Linked DNA regions of Lonchura striata. The protein of the gene in region 1 interacts with the protein of each later gene in a biochemical or structural test. Links are inferred from orthologs where the notes say so. Each region holds a gene or a part of one and is shown in the gene's direction. Other genes may lie near its edges.

Region 1 (7,625 bases):
TTTCTCCCAGCAGTATCTTCCTTTTATTAACTAGTCTATTTCTTATACACATTAGTGGTGTTCCAATTACTGTGCAGTTTATTCAGCAATACACAAACAGATCTTATTACTGAGAAATGCGCCCTGCCTAATCCCTTATGTACCACAGGAAGCAAAGTTATATCAGCAAAAATCAGATATATTTTAAGAATATATCTGATTTTGTCCCAAAAAAGCCTGAGGTCAGTGTCTGTGCCCAGCTGACCACGTAGATTCTCCGGCAGCCAGGATGGATCAGGAGCTGGCTCCAGCTTCACAGCGAGCTGTGACAGGGCGCCACTGAAACCAAGGGCAGAGAAACCAACGGTGAAGGTTTTGGAACTAAGCCATCGTGGAAACAGTTCATTTTTTGAATTTGAATAGATGCAGCCCTGTGAAGTGCTCCAAAAATACCCCGATCCTTTTGCAATCATGTAGATTTCCTTTTTGTGTGGCAGGAATGATAAGTGCCATTAAAAAAAGAAAGGACAAGCACACACTCCATACCTTGACATTCCTGAAATGCCAGAGTTTAAGCAAACAAAAAAGCAGAGGCAGAAGGGCCCCTGAGCTGCCCTGCATGTCCCAGGGAGATGCTGCTGAAGTTGTAGGGAAACTGATTCACTGGGGGCATGTGCCAGCAGCAAGTGCCCTGTGTGACCCTGCTCTGGTTCCACGCAGGCTGAAGGGGAGGTGGCAGCTCTGAACAGACGCATCCAGCTCGTGGAAGAGGAGTTGGATCGTGCCCAGGAACGACTGGCCACAGCCCTGCAGAAACTGGAGGAGGCTGAGAAAGCAGCAGATGAGAGCGAGAGGTACGCTCCTTTTTTATTTTCTGTTGTGTGTCATTAAGTATCTGCATGTGCTACTGCAGGGCAGAGACTTGAAACTTTTTTACAAGCTTGATTGGGTAATTCTGTTAGCCTTGATGAACACGATGGGTCACTTTTAGGCTACAAATCTCAAATTCCACTTTGTGAAGTTGAGATACAAGTGCCAAAATACTTCTCAGTTAAACATGCTTTGATTTCTGCAGAGGAATGAAGGTTATTGAGAACAGAGCAATGAAAGATGAAGAGAAAATGGAAATTCAGGAAATGCAGTTGAAGGAGGCCAAGCACATTGCTGAAGAAGCCGACCGCAAGTATGAGGAGGTAAAAGGGAGAAGGAAATGGTGAAAGCTGTGGGAGAGCCATGAACAGTAACACTGCTCTTCAGTCTAGTCCCTCTGTTCAGTTGGCACTGGGCGATGCTTCAACCTTGCAACATTGCCAGCAAGGAGGAATTTTAATAGTGATTTGCACTCCTTAGGTACCTAATGCAAAAAATACTGCAAAATCTAACTAATTGGGGAGGGCTGTTACCTCTGTGGGTGCATGCTTTAACCTAATTTCCTTACTCCAGAGGAAGCAGGAACAGAGTACTTCTGAGTGCTTTCTGAAATCTGCAAGGAAGTTGTCCCAGGCTGTGGCAGGGGGTGGAACTAGATGATTTTTGAGGTCCCTCCCAACCCAGGCCGTGCTGTGATTTTGCAAATTGCACACTGGCCTGACAACTGGCTGTTGTCTTTTTACAGGTTGCCCGTAAACTGGTTATTTTGGAGGGTGAACTGGAAAGAGCTGAGGAGCGTGCAGAGGTGTCTGAAGTGTGAGTAACTTTCTAGAATATAGGAAATACCAACACTACATTTCAATAAAAATAATCTGGTAGGCAGGCATGTAGTTAGTACTTGCAGAAAAGTCTGTTTGCACACTGCATACCTGGTTTTCTTCTTTCACACTTAATTACTTCCTCCCTTGTATTTCTTAGACTCCTCCAAATCATAACAGGAACACCAGTAATTCATACTTCTATTTTCTCCTTCTAGTAAATGCAGTGACCTCGAAGAGGAGTTAAAGAACGTCACAAACAACCTGAAATCTTTGGAAGCTCAATCTGAAAAGGTTGGTTCTTTCAGTAAACTAAAGGATATGGGCAAAGCCTAAACTTGTAAATAGAATTCACAGAAATAAACCAGAAATAAAAAGCAGATGAGAGGTTTACCTGCCTGCCTGTGGATACCACTCCAAACAATCCTGAAGGTCTGCAGGAGAGCAGAAAAGCACGGAAATGGTGTTTGCAGCTGTTGTAAAAGGAAGAGTGCTTATAAATAGGTCACAGTTTCATAAACATTTATTATTGTTGCTACAATTTCCCTTAAAGAGTGTTTATTGTTTTCACAGTACTCGGAAAAAGAAGATAAATATGAAGAAGAAATCAAGATTCTCTCTGACAAGCTGAAAGAAGTAAGTTTGGCCACCCCCATGCTGGATGCATCTTAGGGCATAATCTTTCTAGGAGCATCCAGTGATGCTGTTTCAACTTTTTTAGGCTGAAACTCGTGCAGAATTTGCAGAGAGAACTGTTGCCAAACTGGAAAAGTCTATTGATGACCTGGAAGGTATGGAATGAGTCAAGTTTCTTTAAAGGTGGTCAGTTTAAAATCAGAAAACAAATTCTAGGAGTTGGGTGGTGGATGTAACGGGAAAGAACAGCAGCATTGGTCAGGCATATTGGTGGATGGGTGTGATGTGTCCACTGGGCACCTGCCCTGTGTGGTGGAAGTTCTCCTGAAAAAGGTTTTCTTCCATAAAGTTGGTAACAATGACCTGATTTTGGCCAACTAACAGATGGAGGGACTCAAGGGCTCACGATCCCCACCCTACTTAATCTGAAAACAATAATGAGATTACAAAAAGACAAAAAGTTCACATAGGTGAAACTTCTGACCAGGCAGCTTGGCGGGTGTTTTGCTTTCCTTCTGATACTCAACTACGCTTCTGTTTTCTTCTTTTGTTTTCCTCCCCAACTGCTTTGGCTGCTGTTGCTTTTGCCTGTCTCCGTTCTCCTCCTGTGGCCTCTTCTCTTGCCTGCATTTCTTGCTGCCTGTTCCTGCTGCCCTGGTGCTGACAGACGAGCTCTATGCTCAGAAGCTGAAGTACAAAGCCATCAGTGAGGAGCTGGACCATGCCCTCAACGACATGACCTCTTTGTGACCCGCCCCTGCGTGGGGACACGGCCTTCCGCTCACTGTGTTTTCTCAAGCTTTTCTTGCCTGTAATCCCTGTCACTCCTGTGCCACTTCCACCTCTGGGAACTGAGCTCAATAAAACATGATACCTCTACTTTTCATCTTGCAGGGTTTACTTCTGTGTAGATCACCTCAAATACAGTGGTGGCAACACCAAAAACACATTCAGCTGTATTGTTAATGTAGGCGAACCCAATGGGAAGAAATTACAATGTCTGACTCAATTTAGAAGGCTGAATGATTTCTTTATTATAACTATGTTAAAATACATTAATATGCTATATAAAAGCAGGATACTAAAACTCCATACTACTTTCTCTGACTCTAACTCTCTCACAACTCGTGACCCTCTCTGAGAGTGCAGCCCCAGGTGGGTTGGATTGGCCACCAGGCTCAAACAATCCTCACAGAATCCAACCAAGATCTCACCCCAGGTAAACAATTCTCCAAACACGTTCCAAATAGGAAAAACAAGGAGCAGAAATAGAAATTGTTTTCTCTTTCATTTCTCTCTGTGCACCTCTATGAAAAATCCTGAGAGGGAGAGAAATGTGCTCGCCACACAGCTGCTCGTGTGGGGTTGGGCAAGACATGGTCAGGATGGGGCAAACACTTGAATTTTGGTGTTCCCTTTAGTCAGTGAAAAGCTTTGAGTGCACTCAGTGTCTGCTCGTACTCCACCAGCCTGGTTAAAAACCTCTCACTCCAAGGAAAAGCCAGCAGGATGTGGCCTATAAATGACACAGTGACACATTAAAACACAGGTCTGACATGTTCCATGAGATGTGTCCAAAAAACTCCCTTAGGGATAGCAATTACAAAAAAAATGGCCCTGTTTTGATGATATAAAAGTGTCTTAAATATGAAGGTAAGTTACCCCAGGTTTTATTTAAAGCAAAAAGGCTAGAAAATAACATTATTTAAATCTTGTGCTTTTCTCCTTTCTCACCAGAAAAACTTGCTCAAGCCAAAGAGGAGAACCTGGGCTTGCACCAGACACTGGACCAGACACTAAACGAACTGAACTGTATATGAGTGGCTCAGCGCTGCCAGCAGGCGCCACCTGCCCCTGCCTCGCTCCTTCCCCTCTCTCTCTGTATCCCGGACAAGCCACTTAAGTTATGCCCGGCACAGCCGCACCGCGGGCCCCGGGCATCCCTGGGGGCCGGGGAGCCGCGCGGCCGTGCCGGGGCCGTGGCTGCTCTCACGGTTCCTCTGTCCTTTGGTGTAAGCCCCGGTGGGAGCTGCACCCGAGCGGCGCCGCCCCCGCTGCCGTTTCTTATTAAACAATTTCTCACAGTACCGCGGCTTCTTGAGGATTCTTGTACCGCTGGGGGTGTGACGTCACGGTGCGGGCAGGTACGGGATGACGTCATTGTGTTACCGCCGGGAAATGACGGGACACCGGAGGGGGGGGCCGATAGCCAATCGCAGCGCCGCTTACATCCGTCTCAGGTCCGCCAGCCAATGGCGGGCCGGCTCCGTGCGCTCTCCGCCGGGCTGGGCCAATGAGCGCGTGGCGGGCGGGGCCCACCAACATGGCGAAGACCTACGATTACCTGTTCAAGCTGCTGCTGATCGGCGACTCGGGCGTGGGCAAGACCTGCGCGCTCTTCCGCTTCTCCGAGGACGCCTTCAACGCCACCTTCATCTCCACCATCGGTGAGCGCCGCCCGGCCGCCATCCCCGCCGGGCCGCGTCCCGCTCGGGGCTCGGGCCGCGGGAGCCGCGGGCGGGCCCGGGGCTCGGGGCTCTCCGCCGGGCTCGGGGCTCTCCGCCGGGCTCGGGGCTCTCCGCCGGGCTCGCAGCCGTGGCGGGACACTCCAGACCGGGCCGGCGCCAGACCTCCCCGGAGCGGCCGGTGCCGGGAGGGAGCACTGAGGGACGCCACACCGAGCAGCGGGATTGAGGGCAAAGCCTTGGATTTGGCCGTTGGGCGGGAGCTGGGAGTAAAGAAATTGGTTTTCCTTTCAGGAATCGACTTTAAAATTAGAACGATAGAGCTCGATGGCAAGAGAATCAAGCTGCAGATCTGGTAAGGCTCCTGTGCTGCAGTCAGCGTCTGATCGCTGGGGCTGTGTGCTGTGCGTGGGGAGGTTCGGTTCGGTTCCTATGCGGTTGTGCTGCTCTGTGGTTTATGGTGTTTTAGAAGCCAAAAGGCAGCTCTGAAGAGTGCTTCAAATTAACTGAAGGCTTTTGTGGTGTTAACTGGAACTGAGCCCCGTGTTGTGTCTGTTGCAGGGACACAGCTGGGCAGGAGCGGTTCCGGACCATCACCACCGCCTACTACAGGGGAGCCATGGTAGGGGCAGCTCGGGGACAGGGGGGACAAACCCAGCTGGCTCTGACACAGAACACTCACAGCTCTGCTCCAAGTGCTGCTGGAGCTGTGCTGGGATGTTGGATAATACCATTTTCTTGACTTAGAGATGGGGTAACTGAGCGGTGTTTCAAAAACTTTCATTTCATTTCAGTCTCATGAGAAGGGTGAGACAATACAGATGTTATAATTCACACCATCACAATCAGAAGCCAACTATTTCCTCATTACAATGCACTATAAGTGTTTCTTGGCTTCCCAACTTTTTACCACACCGTGTTGTAGATACATTAAAACCAATCATCTAAAACTACCTCTCACAGGTCCCACTACAATATATTTTCTTTAATTCTATTTCTCCAAAGTATCTAGTCTTATTTACAAAACCATATTTTGAAACTTTTTTCTAGCTCAATTTCTCTCTCAACAATATTCTATTCTATAGTATTTCTAAGTCAGCATTTCTTATCTCAAAGTTTGCATTATGTGTGAGCTTTCTGTCAGGCCCTGAGAACTCTCTACGAATCCATTTCCCACACTGGGATGATCTGGGACTTTGGAAAGGCAGCTTCCTCCATGTTTCACTCTATAAATACATGTCCTGCACACCTTATCTCACTGCCATTAGCTGGGAACCAGTTATTAAAAATAGCCACTGTTGAGTTGCTCCTCTCTGCTGTGGATAAACCTTTAACTCCTGCTGAAACAGTCTTTCTTTACCTTTAGGGCATTATGCTAGTGTACGACATCACCAATGAAAAGTCTTTTGAAAATATTCGGAACTGGGTGAGGAATATTGAAGAGGTAATTTCTCTCTTTACTTATTACTGACTGTTAAAGGTGTCATTTCTTCCCATGAAAATAATTGCTTCAGAAGCATTACATTTTCTCATGTGCTGCAGGGAACTTGGAAGATAAGTGGGATGGAAATCAGTAAAAGCTTTTGGAATGCCTTGGCTGACAGTGCTTTGTTGTGAGGGCTGTAGCCCCTGTACTTCTGAGGGCACCTAATGTGACAATTTCCTACCACAACAATTGATCCAAGAATTGCCATGGTGCAGGTTACATCCTGGGAAGAAGGGTTGGGGGAGCCTGGAAATCTGGGGAAGATTCTCAGGACTGGCATCTCTGTGTTGGGTACTCAGTGGGTGCCTCACCTGTCTGACAATGTTTGTCTACAAAAGCCAAGCCTGAGTTTCTGGTCTGTGTTTGTCTCAGCACGCTTCTCCAGACGTTGAAAAAATGATCCTGGGGAACAAATGTGATGCAAATGACAAAAGACAAGTCTCTAGAGAGCAAGGGGAGAAGGTAAGTGCCGTGGCTTTGATGTATTTTGACTTAGGCTTTTCAGAGTCCAAAACCTGGCCTGCTGACTGTCTGCACGTGCCATGGTACCCCTGTGGTGTTCCTGAGTGCAGTGCCTGAGCATTCCCCAAGCTGCCATGGCAATGCTTTCCCCCACTGGCATCAACAGCAGAACCTGTGTTAAGTATTCTTATCAATTATCTAACAGATGCAAGGCAACCAGCAGGACTTCTCTAAAAGGATGCTAGAGTTGGACATGGATAAATGTCTGTTTTGGCTGAAAGCCACTGAGACAAGGTAGATGGGATTGTCTTTTCTGATGTCAGATGTTACTTAGGCGAGGCAGAGATTTTTTCTGCACTGTGGTTGTTACAAGACTGACAAGGTATCTATGCAAGAAACGAAAAAGAGCAACCTAAAAAGTGTGCAGAGTGTAAAAGAGCAGAGCAAAGACAGTGAGAACAGATGCCAACTGCAGTGGGATTTAGTTCCTAATTTTTGTTCTGCATGAGTAAATCCCCAACTCCACTGCTGGTGGCAGCAGGGACAGATGCTGTGCCCAGGACTGTGTTTGGAGCTGTTCCTGCAATTGTTCAATAATGTGCAATATGCTTTTGTTCAGCTTGCTGCAAGTTTCGGGATTAAATTCATGGAGACCAGTGCAAAAGCAAATATAAACATAGAGAATGTAAGTACTGCTGCCTTTCTCTTGTATTTCTTGTCCTCTTTGTGCAAACCAGCAGTGTGGGATGCAGAACTCCATGGTTGGGTTGTTGAGCACTTTCCTGCAGCAGAGACCCTGGCTGGGGGTGGCAGTGTGGCTTTGGGGCTCAGAAAGAAGGTTGTGGAGCTAGAGAAGGAGCATTGAAACCTGGAGCAGAGAGGAAAATACTGAGAGCTTAACGTTTCTTG
Region 2 (7,340 bases), on another chromosome or scaffold:
CTGCGAACGGGATTGCCCGGGACCGGGAACGGGACTGCCCGGCACCGGGAACGGGACTGCCCGGGACCGCGAACGGACTGCCCGGGACGCGAACGGGACTGCCCGGGACTGCGAACGGACTGCCCGGGACGCGAACGGGCTGCCGCGGCCTCGGGGATCGCCGGCACCGGGAGCGGCCTCGGGGATTCCCTCGGCCTCAGGGATGCCGCTCGGGCACAGCCCCCGCCGGGCCTGACCCCGCTCGGGGCTCGGCAGGATGGCAGCCGCGGAGGTGCCCGCGCTGGCCACGGAGCGCAGGTTCGCCCAGCGCCTCAGGTGAGGCCCGGGGCAGCGAGGGCAGCGGGGCCTGTGCTCCGGCACGATGGGGGCAGCGGTCCCCGTGCTGTCCGGGGCCAGCCGCGGGCTCTGAAGGGCCTCTCCCCGCAGGGAATGCCTGGAAGAGGAGCGGCTCCTGGACGGGCGCTACCGGCTGCAGCGGCTGCCGGGCGGCCGCGTGGCCGTGCCCGTGCTGGAGGAGAAGCTGTCGCAGCTCTGCCTGCCCGCGGAGATGCCCTGTGAGCTGCTCCGGATCCAGGTTGGCACAGCCGGCCGGCTGCGAGCCCCGGGCGCTGTCTGAGCCCCGGGCCCCCGCGGCACGGCCCTGCCGCAGGATGCTGTCCCCTCCAGGGCCGCCCGCCGCCGCCCGCCGGCCCGCAGGCTGCTCCAGGAGCTGCGGCGGCTGCTGCCCGCCGGCTGGCCCGCCGAGCTGGAGCGGGACCTGCCGCACGCCTGGCAGCGCCACGGCGACCTGGTGCTGCTCAGCGAGGACAGCTTCAGCCACCCGGCCTGGGAGCGCCTGGGTAAGCGCTGGGACACGGGTGAAAAATCCAACCCTACAATGCTAACAAAGATTCGTAGGCAACGGTGTGTTTATTCACAGTGTTGTGGATGCCCTTTAATGGACATGCACACTTCTGAAAACTCTTATCTTTTTCTATTATCATGACTAATTTCTAGTCAGGGTAATAAAAATTATTATGAAAATTCTAGTCGAGGTAATTTCCTGCATGCATAGAATTTTACAATAGGTTCATGCATATTCATTCTGCTGATTTTGTGTTATATTTACAGTTAGTTACACTTCTACTTAGTTTTTGTTAGAAGGTATAGAAAACTTTTGGGTTACTCTGCTTTTTAAATCTGAGGAGTTTTTCTTATCTCTTCTTTAGTTAAGACAACTTTGCTAGTGCTGTAGTTACTAGACTAAATAACATATTTCACTTAAGTTAGTAAGCTCAAAGGAGTGCATTTTACTTAAATCTAAACGAATTTCTGCTCTGTTAAATTTTTACTGTGTCTCACTGCCCGCGCCTCCCGGGGTGCTGTGTTGCAGGCCCGGAGCTCTGGGAGACGGTGGCCTCGGCTCTGGGGGCCCGGCGGGTGGCCAGGCGAGGACGGGTGATGCCGGACGGGATGCGGACCCCCAGCGTCACCCTGCTGCTGGGCCAGCACGGCTGGGTGGAGCGCGTGGACAACGGCATCAGGTGGGCAGGAGATGCAGGATGCGGCTTCTGGGGAAGGGGCTGCCCTCACCATCTGGGCCGGGTCTTCCAGGTACACCTTCGATGTGACCAAGTGCATGTTCTCCCCGGGCAACATCACGGAGAAGCTGCGTGTGGCCTCACTGCCCTGCTCCGGGGAGGTCGTAGTGGATCTCTATGCAGGTAATGGGGACGGAGGAGGAGCAGGACAGGTGCTGATGGCATCCAGGTAGACAGGAAATGTCATTTCCAGCTTGGAATGAAAAATACTCAGGCTTAGAGCTCCTATCTTGTCTGTGAGGCCTTCAGCTACACTGGCACTGCTGTCCTGCCTGTGTCCCTGCAGCCTCTGGACACTTAAGATGTCCTGTTCTCAGGCTCTGTGCCTTGTGCTGGTTTGGGGAATCACTTTGATCCAGGGTAAAGATTTGCCACTGTTTGTGCTTAAGGAAGTTAGTGCTTCCAATTTGTGCCACACTGAAAGGACAATGCCACCCACAAAACTCCTGTGGATTAATCAAAAGAAATGGTAATCTGGACACTTCTGCAGAGCCAGACAGATCTCAGCCTGGTGGCCAAAGACTGAAGGTTAAATAATCTCCTCTAAACATTTTTCAAGGCAAAATTTGCTTTTGCACAAGAGGGAGGGATAAATTCCCATTTTTCCAGTGTTTGGGCTTTTTCCAACCCAGAGCAAAGCCGAGTTGGAGAGGCAGGGTGTCAGTGTGCATCCTGCCCTGCCCTCGGGGAGGAGTGTGGCTCTCTGGAGGTCCCTGTCCCCAGTCAGTGCCACCTCCTGCCTGCAGGCATCGGCTATTTCACGCTGCCGTTCCTGGTGCACGCGGGAGCCGCCTTTGTCCATGCCTGTGAGTGGAACAGCCACGCCGTGGAGGCCCTGCACAGGAGCCTGGTGCTGAACGGGGTGCGGGACCGCTGCCGCATCCACGGCGGGGACAGCCGGCAGGTGAGCGCTGCCGCCGGCCGCGGGAGCCCTTCCCGCGGGCATCCCCTCACCTCCGCTCTCCTCCCAGCTGCAGCTGCGCGATGTGGCGGACAGGGTGAACCTGGGGCTGCTTCCCAGCTCGGAGGAAGGCTGGCCGGTGGCCTGCCGCGTCCTGAAGAAGGACACGGGCGGGGTTCTGCACATCCACCAGAACGTGGAGGCTCGCCCGGCGCACGCCGCGGTGCTGCTGGCTGAGCGGGGCTCCGCAGAGGCAGCCAGCTCCGCGGGAGAGGCGTGGCACCCGGTGGAGCACAGTGAGCAGGAGGCACTGGGGGCCAGGCTCAGACCCGAGTGGCAGCGGTGGGCTGCAGCCACGGCCGCACGGATCCAGGGGCTGCTGGCAGAGCTGCACGGGCGGCCGTGGTGCTGCAGCATCCTGCACATCGAGGCAGTGAAGTCCTACGCACCACACGTGCATCACCTCGTGCTGGACCTCGAGTGCCGGCCTGTGCTGCCCGTTTAGCGGGACATGGGCACCGCTGGGGCTCCAGATCCCTTGGAAGGCTGGTGTCAAAGCACGAGGGGCAGAGACATGCTGCCAGTGTGTCCTGCTGCCAGCCTGGATGTGCCTTATGTTCCCTAGTTCCCAGGTGGCAGCACTGCCCAGCAGTGCCTCCCTGTGCCAGGGCACCCAGGGTTGTGCTCCACACGGCAGATCCCTTCATGATCCAGACAAAGATGGAGCAAGCTGGAGTGCAGACTGCCAGTGTTCTGTCCTGGCTCTGCCAGCTGCTGCCCAGGTCTTGGACACGTGGTAGCACCTTGAGCCCCATTTTCACACAGGAGAGAGCCACAGTGCTGAGAAACCTTGGGTTCCTGCTGGGTTCATTTCGGCAAGTCAGGGACAAGCTTGGTGCTTGTATTTAGCAGCATGCTTTTTTAATGTACTTGAAGCAAGTCTGTTCATCCTGTTTCCTTCCTATCTTTTTTTCAGAAATAAAGATGTTTCTCACCACCTCTTGGTGTCCAGTCAAAACGTGAACTTTGGAGCAAGCATGGGGGTCTGGCCTGGGGACTTTGGGTCCCAGGGTGGTGTGCGGAGGGGCTCAGGGAGCAAAGCCTCTGTGGCATTGTCTTCCTGCAAGCCCAAAGCCCTCTGCATATTTATTGTGTACTCCCGATGGAGCGAACCCCTGCCGCACAAGGAAGTTCCCGCTGGCCCTTTGATGTCTCCGTGGTTTTTTCCACTATCAGTGTCCCATCACTTCCCACAGGGCTGGAAGCCTCCGGCTCTCCCATCCCTGGGGCGCGGCCGAAAGCGAGGGCAGAGCCGCGTCCTCTCGTTTGCCTTGGGGCTGCACGCAGGTGGCTCCGCGCTGTCCTGCGTGGCGAGCAGCCGCCTCCCCGCGGGTGGAGCCCCACGCCTCGGCCAGCCGCGAGTGCTCGGGCTCCCCGGTGCTGTGCTGCGGGGGGCAGGGACGAGGCGCCCTGCGGGGACGGTATCTCTGCCACGAAGGACAAGGGCAGGGCCGGAGCCTTGCGGCGGGAGGACGCCACGGCCGCGGCCCTGGGCTGCTCCGCGGGCACGCCGGGGAGTCCCCCGCAGTTCGGGTGTCGGTGCGCTCTCTGCTCGTCGGGAGAAGCCACCCACCCAGTCAGGGCCATGGGGCACCGGGGACACCGGCCCGCGGGGCTGGAGCCGCAGCTGTTCCGGGGCTGCTCGGGCGGGGAAGGGCTGGAGGGAGCGGGCACCGCCTCCCGCACGGGCCGCCCCGTCCGTGCCGCAGGTGCGGCCGCCGCGGCTCCTTTAAGGCACCGGCGCCGCCCTCCGCTGCCGCTGTCCCCTCCCGCTGCCGGGAGGCGCCGGCCGGAGCCGCTGCAGGTACCGGGACGGTCGTGGGATCGGGCGGGGGTACCGAGGGTTCCTCCGCGGACGGGGCAGGACGGGGGTCCCTCGGCTGCAGGGGAGTCGGGGGTAGCCAGGGGTCCCTCTGTGGTCCGGCGGTCCAGCCGCGGTGTCCCGGGCGGGGGCAGTTCCCAGCCCCGGTGGCCGCGCTGCGAACGCGGCGCTCCCGGCCCCGGATCCCACTTTTCCCGACAGAGAGGAGCCTGGGGTCCGCCCCGCCGCCCCCTCCTCCCCGAGGGCCGCCGGAGCGCGGCTGCGGGCACAGGAAGGTCCCTGCCGGTTCCGCCGGGCCGGGCGGGAGCGGGGAGCGGTGCAGCCCCCGAGCCAGCGCCGCGGCTCCGTCCCGGCTGGAGCGGCCGCGGCCGCCCGGCTCCTGGTGCCGCCGCCTGCGAGCCGGATCCGGCCGTGCCGCCCTGGTGCGTGTCCGCTCCCGGCGGCTCCTCGGGCTCGGGCAGCTCCGAGCCCCGCGGCGTTCGTGGGAGGGGCGGCCCGGGGCGGCTCCTTCCTGCCGGGGCTGCCCGCGGGTGCTGCGCGTCAGCCCGGTCCCACGGAGCCGGCTGAGGTCAGCGGGGCGGCGGGGCTGGCAGGCGGCCCGAGCCCAGCCCGGGGCAGGGCGGCGGAGGCGGCGGGCGGGCCGGTGTCCTGGGTGCCGCCAGCGCCGGGTCCAGCCCCGGCAGCGGGCACGGGGCACCTCGCGGGGCGCGACCCGCGCTCAGCAGCTGGCATGTCCCTAGCTGGCGTGCGCTGAGGGCCAGCCATCGCGGGCGCAGCGATGTCGGAGGCTGTGGACCTGTCCTTCCTGTCGGACGTGGAGAGAGATCTGATCCTGCAGGTCCTGCAGCGCGACGAGGAGCTCCGCAAGGCAGAGGAGAGGAGGATCAGGTGCGAACGCGGCTGGAGCTGGGCAGGAGCTGCCTCCCCGCTATGCTCTGGAGGCGGGTGGATGAGCGAGAGCGTGGGTGACGGGTGTCGCCGGGGTCCCGGGGCGCCTCTGACAGCTCCCGGTGTCGGCTCTGGGCAGGCGCCTGAAGAACGAGCTGCTGGAGATCCGGCGCAAGGGAGCCAAGCGGGGCAGCCAGCGCTACAGCGAGCGGACCTGCGCCCGCTGCCAGCAGAGCCTGGGCCGCGTCAGCCCCAAGGCCAACACCTGCCGGGGCTGCAACCACTTGGTGTGTCGGGACTGCCGTTCCTACAGCCCCGGCGGCTCCTGGCGCTGCAAAGTCTGCACCAAGGAGGCGTGAGTAGCCAGGACCAGTGGCAGGCACATTGTGCACATGCCTCCTTTCCCCTTCCTCCTCTCAGTTGCCTCAACTTGTTGCCCCATAGCCAGCCTTTCCTAGCCTGGCTGGTCCTCCCCAGTGCAGGGCAGCTTGCTCTGCTGTCACTCCTGTGTTTGGGTGATGGAAAAATGGGTCATACCCCTCTCTTGTGTCTCCTTCATGTCCTGCTCCTTCACCTGAACTAACTGCAGCATCCCCCTGTGCCCTTGCACAGCTGTGTTCCAAGCACCCCAGGCTTCCTCCCTTTTGGCTTCCTCTGTCCTACAAAACTTGCCTTGCTGCCGTGTTTGCTGAGGATGTAGCTGAGCCTGTCAACTGCCCGGTGAATGGTCCCTGCCCAGTCACCTGCTGATTTTGCCCACTGTGCCTGTGTTCTCGGGTTGTGGCAGCACCGAGGGTGGGTTGGGGCACAGCTGACAGTCCCTACTGCCCCTGACTGCCCCCACCACCCCTGCCCTGCAGTGAGCTGAAGAAGGCAACGGGTGACTGGTTCTATGACCAGAGGGTGAACCGCTTTGCCAACCACCTGGGCAGCGACATGGTGCGGCTGTCCCTGCGGCACAGGCCGGCAGGTAGGGGTGCCACAGCAAGGCCTTCTCCCACAGCCCAGCCACGTGGGATGCTCCAGCTTTCCCCAGTGCATCTCTGCCCAGTGTGGAGCTGGATGGGAGCAGCTCCTGCTCCAAGCAGTGAGCTTGGAGCAGTGCTCCTCATGATGCCTCTCTTGCAGCCAACAAAAGAGAGACTGTGGGATATACTCTCCTCCAGAAAGCCCAGCTCAGTGAGCCTAAAAGCTCCTCTGCAGTCCGGCAGCCGAGCCCCCCTGCACCCCGGGAGGGGTCCAGGTAGGAATCCCTGCTGTCCCCCGTGCTCCAGGCAGCAGCTCTCATCTGCTGCAGGTTTGAGAGGAAGCTCTGCCCTGTGCGGATCATCGGTGGTGCAGGAGCTCTCTCAGACCGACCTCCTCACCAAACAGGACATACCTGTGGTTTTGCTTGTCTGCAGTTTGTTTCCAGATGCCTCAGACCCTAGGGATGGCAAAAGCGACACAGAGTCCATGGAAAACATGAGCCTGGACAGCTACAAACCTAGTCCTGCTGATGTGGGCGGCAGGTGAGAGGATCCCAGGGGGGCTTGTCTTTGGCAAGACTGGCTGGCAGAGGATGGGACCTTCATCTGAAGTGTGTTTTTCTCAGTCTAGTAGGGGGAAGCTGGCTCCTCTGGCTGGGCTGAAGCCTGTCCCTGGGCAGGAAGATCCTCTGCTCCCAGGCTGCTACGGGCAGCTCAAGTGGCGCTTCCTGGCCAGCACTTGCTCTGCCAGCTGTGCTTGTGGTCTGGGACAGACCTTTCTGTGTTTGCCACAGGAGGAACTCCCTGGAGAGAGCCATCCCTGGAAAACAGGTTGTTGGGCCAGCAGGACCTGCTTCCTCCAGCCTGACCCTCCCTCTCCGCTCCAAGAACGCGTTCTCTGACGGGCGGGTGCGTGACGCTGCTCCGACAGGCTCAGCCCTGTCCTGGGGCGTGGGGCTGGCACCCCACAGGGCTCCTAGCCCTGCCCTGCTCTCAGGGGACTCTTCCTTCCCAGGATGCCACCGTGGGGACCCGCAGCAGCACCTTGGTGGATGAACATGAAATGATATTCCAGAAGAACCCCCGGCGGGTGGTGCGGCCTGCGGGTGAGAGATGCTGAC

What was found. The genes of interacting proteins can lie anywhere in the genome.
Region 2: the proteins of RAB8A (region 1) and SYTL4 form a complex in vitro, tested with the Homo sapiens proteins (2 studies listed by BioGRID). The link is inferred for Lonchura striata from reciprocal best matches to the Homo sapiens genes RAB8A and SYTL4.

What each region holds. Positions count from the first base shown.
Region 1 is NC_134630.1:4,669,315-4,676,939, reverse strand, and holds the start of RAB8A (ras-related protein Rab-8A), read left to right. Parts: upstream 1-4,597; 5' UTR 4,598-4,626; coding exon 4,627-4,750; intron 4,751-5,062; coding exon 5,063-5,123; intron 5,124-5,329; coding exon 5,330-5,390; intron 5,391-6,134; coding exon 6,135-6,212; intron 6,213-6,626; coding exon 6,627-6,716; intron 6,717-7,335; coding exon 7,336-7,401; intron 7,402-7,625. Other genes in the region: TPM4 (tropomyosin alpha-4 chain), read left to right, coding at 700-833, 1,055-1,172, 1,595-1,665, 1,886-1,961, 2,241-2,303, 2,389-2,458, 4,041-4,123. UniProt on the Homo sapiens protein: The small GTPases Rab are key regulators of intracellular membrane trafficking, from the formation of transport vesicles to their fusion with membranes.
Region 2 is NC_134616.1:897,514-904,853, forward strand, and holds the start of SYTL4 (synaptotagmin-like protein 4), read left to right. Parts: upstream 1-4,306; 5' UTR 4,307-4,345; intron 4,346-5,103; 5' UTR 5,104-5,141; coding exon 5,142-5,251; intron 5,252-5,390; coding exon 5,391-5,606; intron 5,607-6,111; coding exon 6,112-6,221; intron 6,222-6,379; coding exon 6,380-6,494; intron 6,495-6,654; coding exon 6,655-6,762; intron 6,763-7,013; coding exon 7,014-7,128; intron 7,129-7,234; coding exon 7,235-7,325; intron 7,326-7,340. UniProt on the Homo sapiens protein: Modulates exocytosis of dense-core granules and secretion of hormones in the pancreas and the pituitary. Interacts with vesicles containing negatively charged phospholipids in a Ca(2+)-independent manner.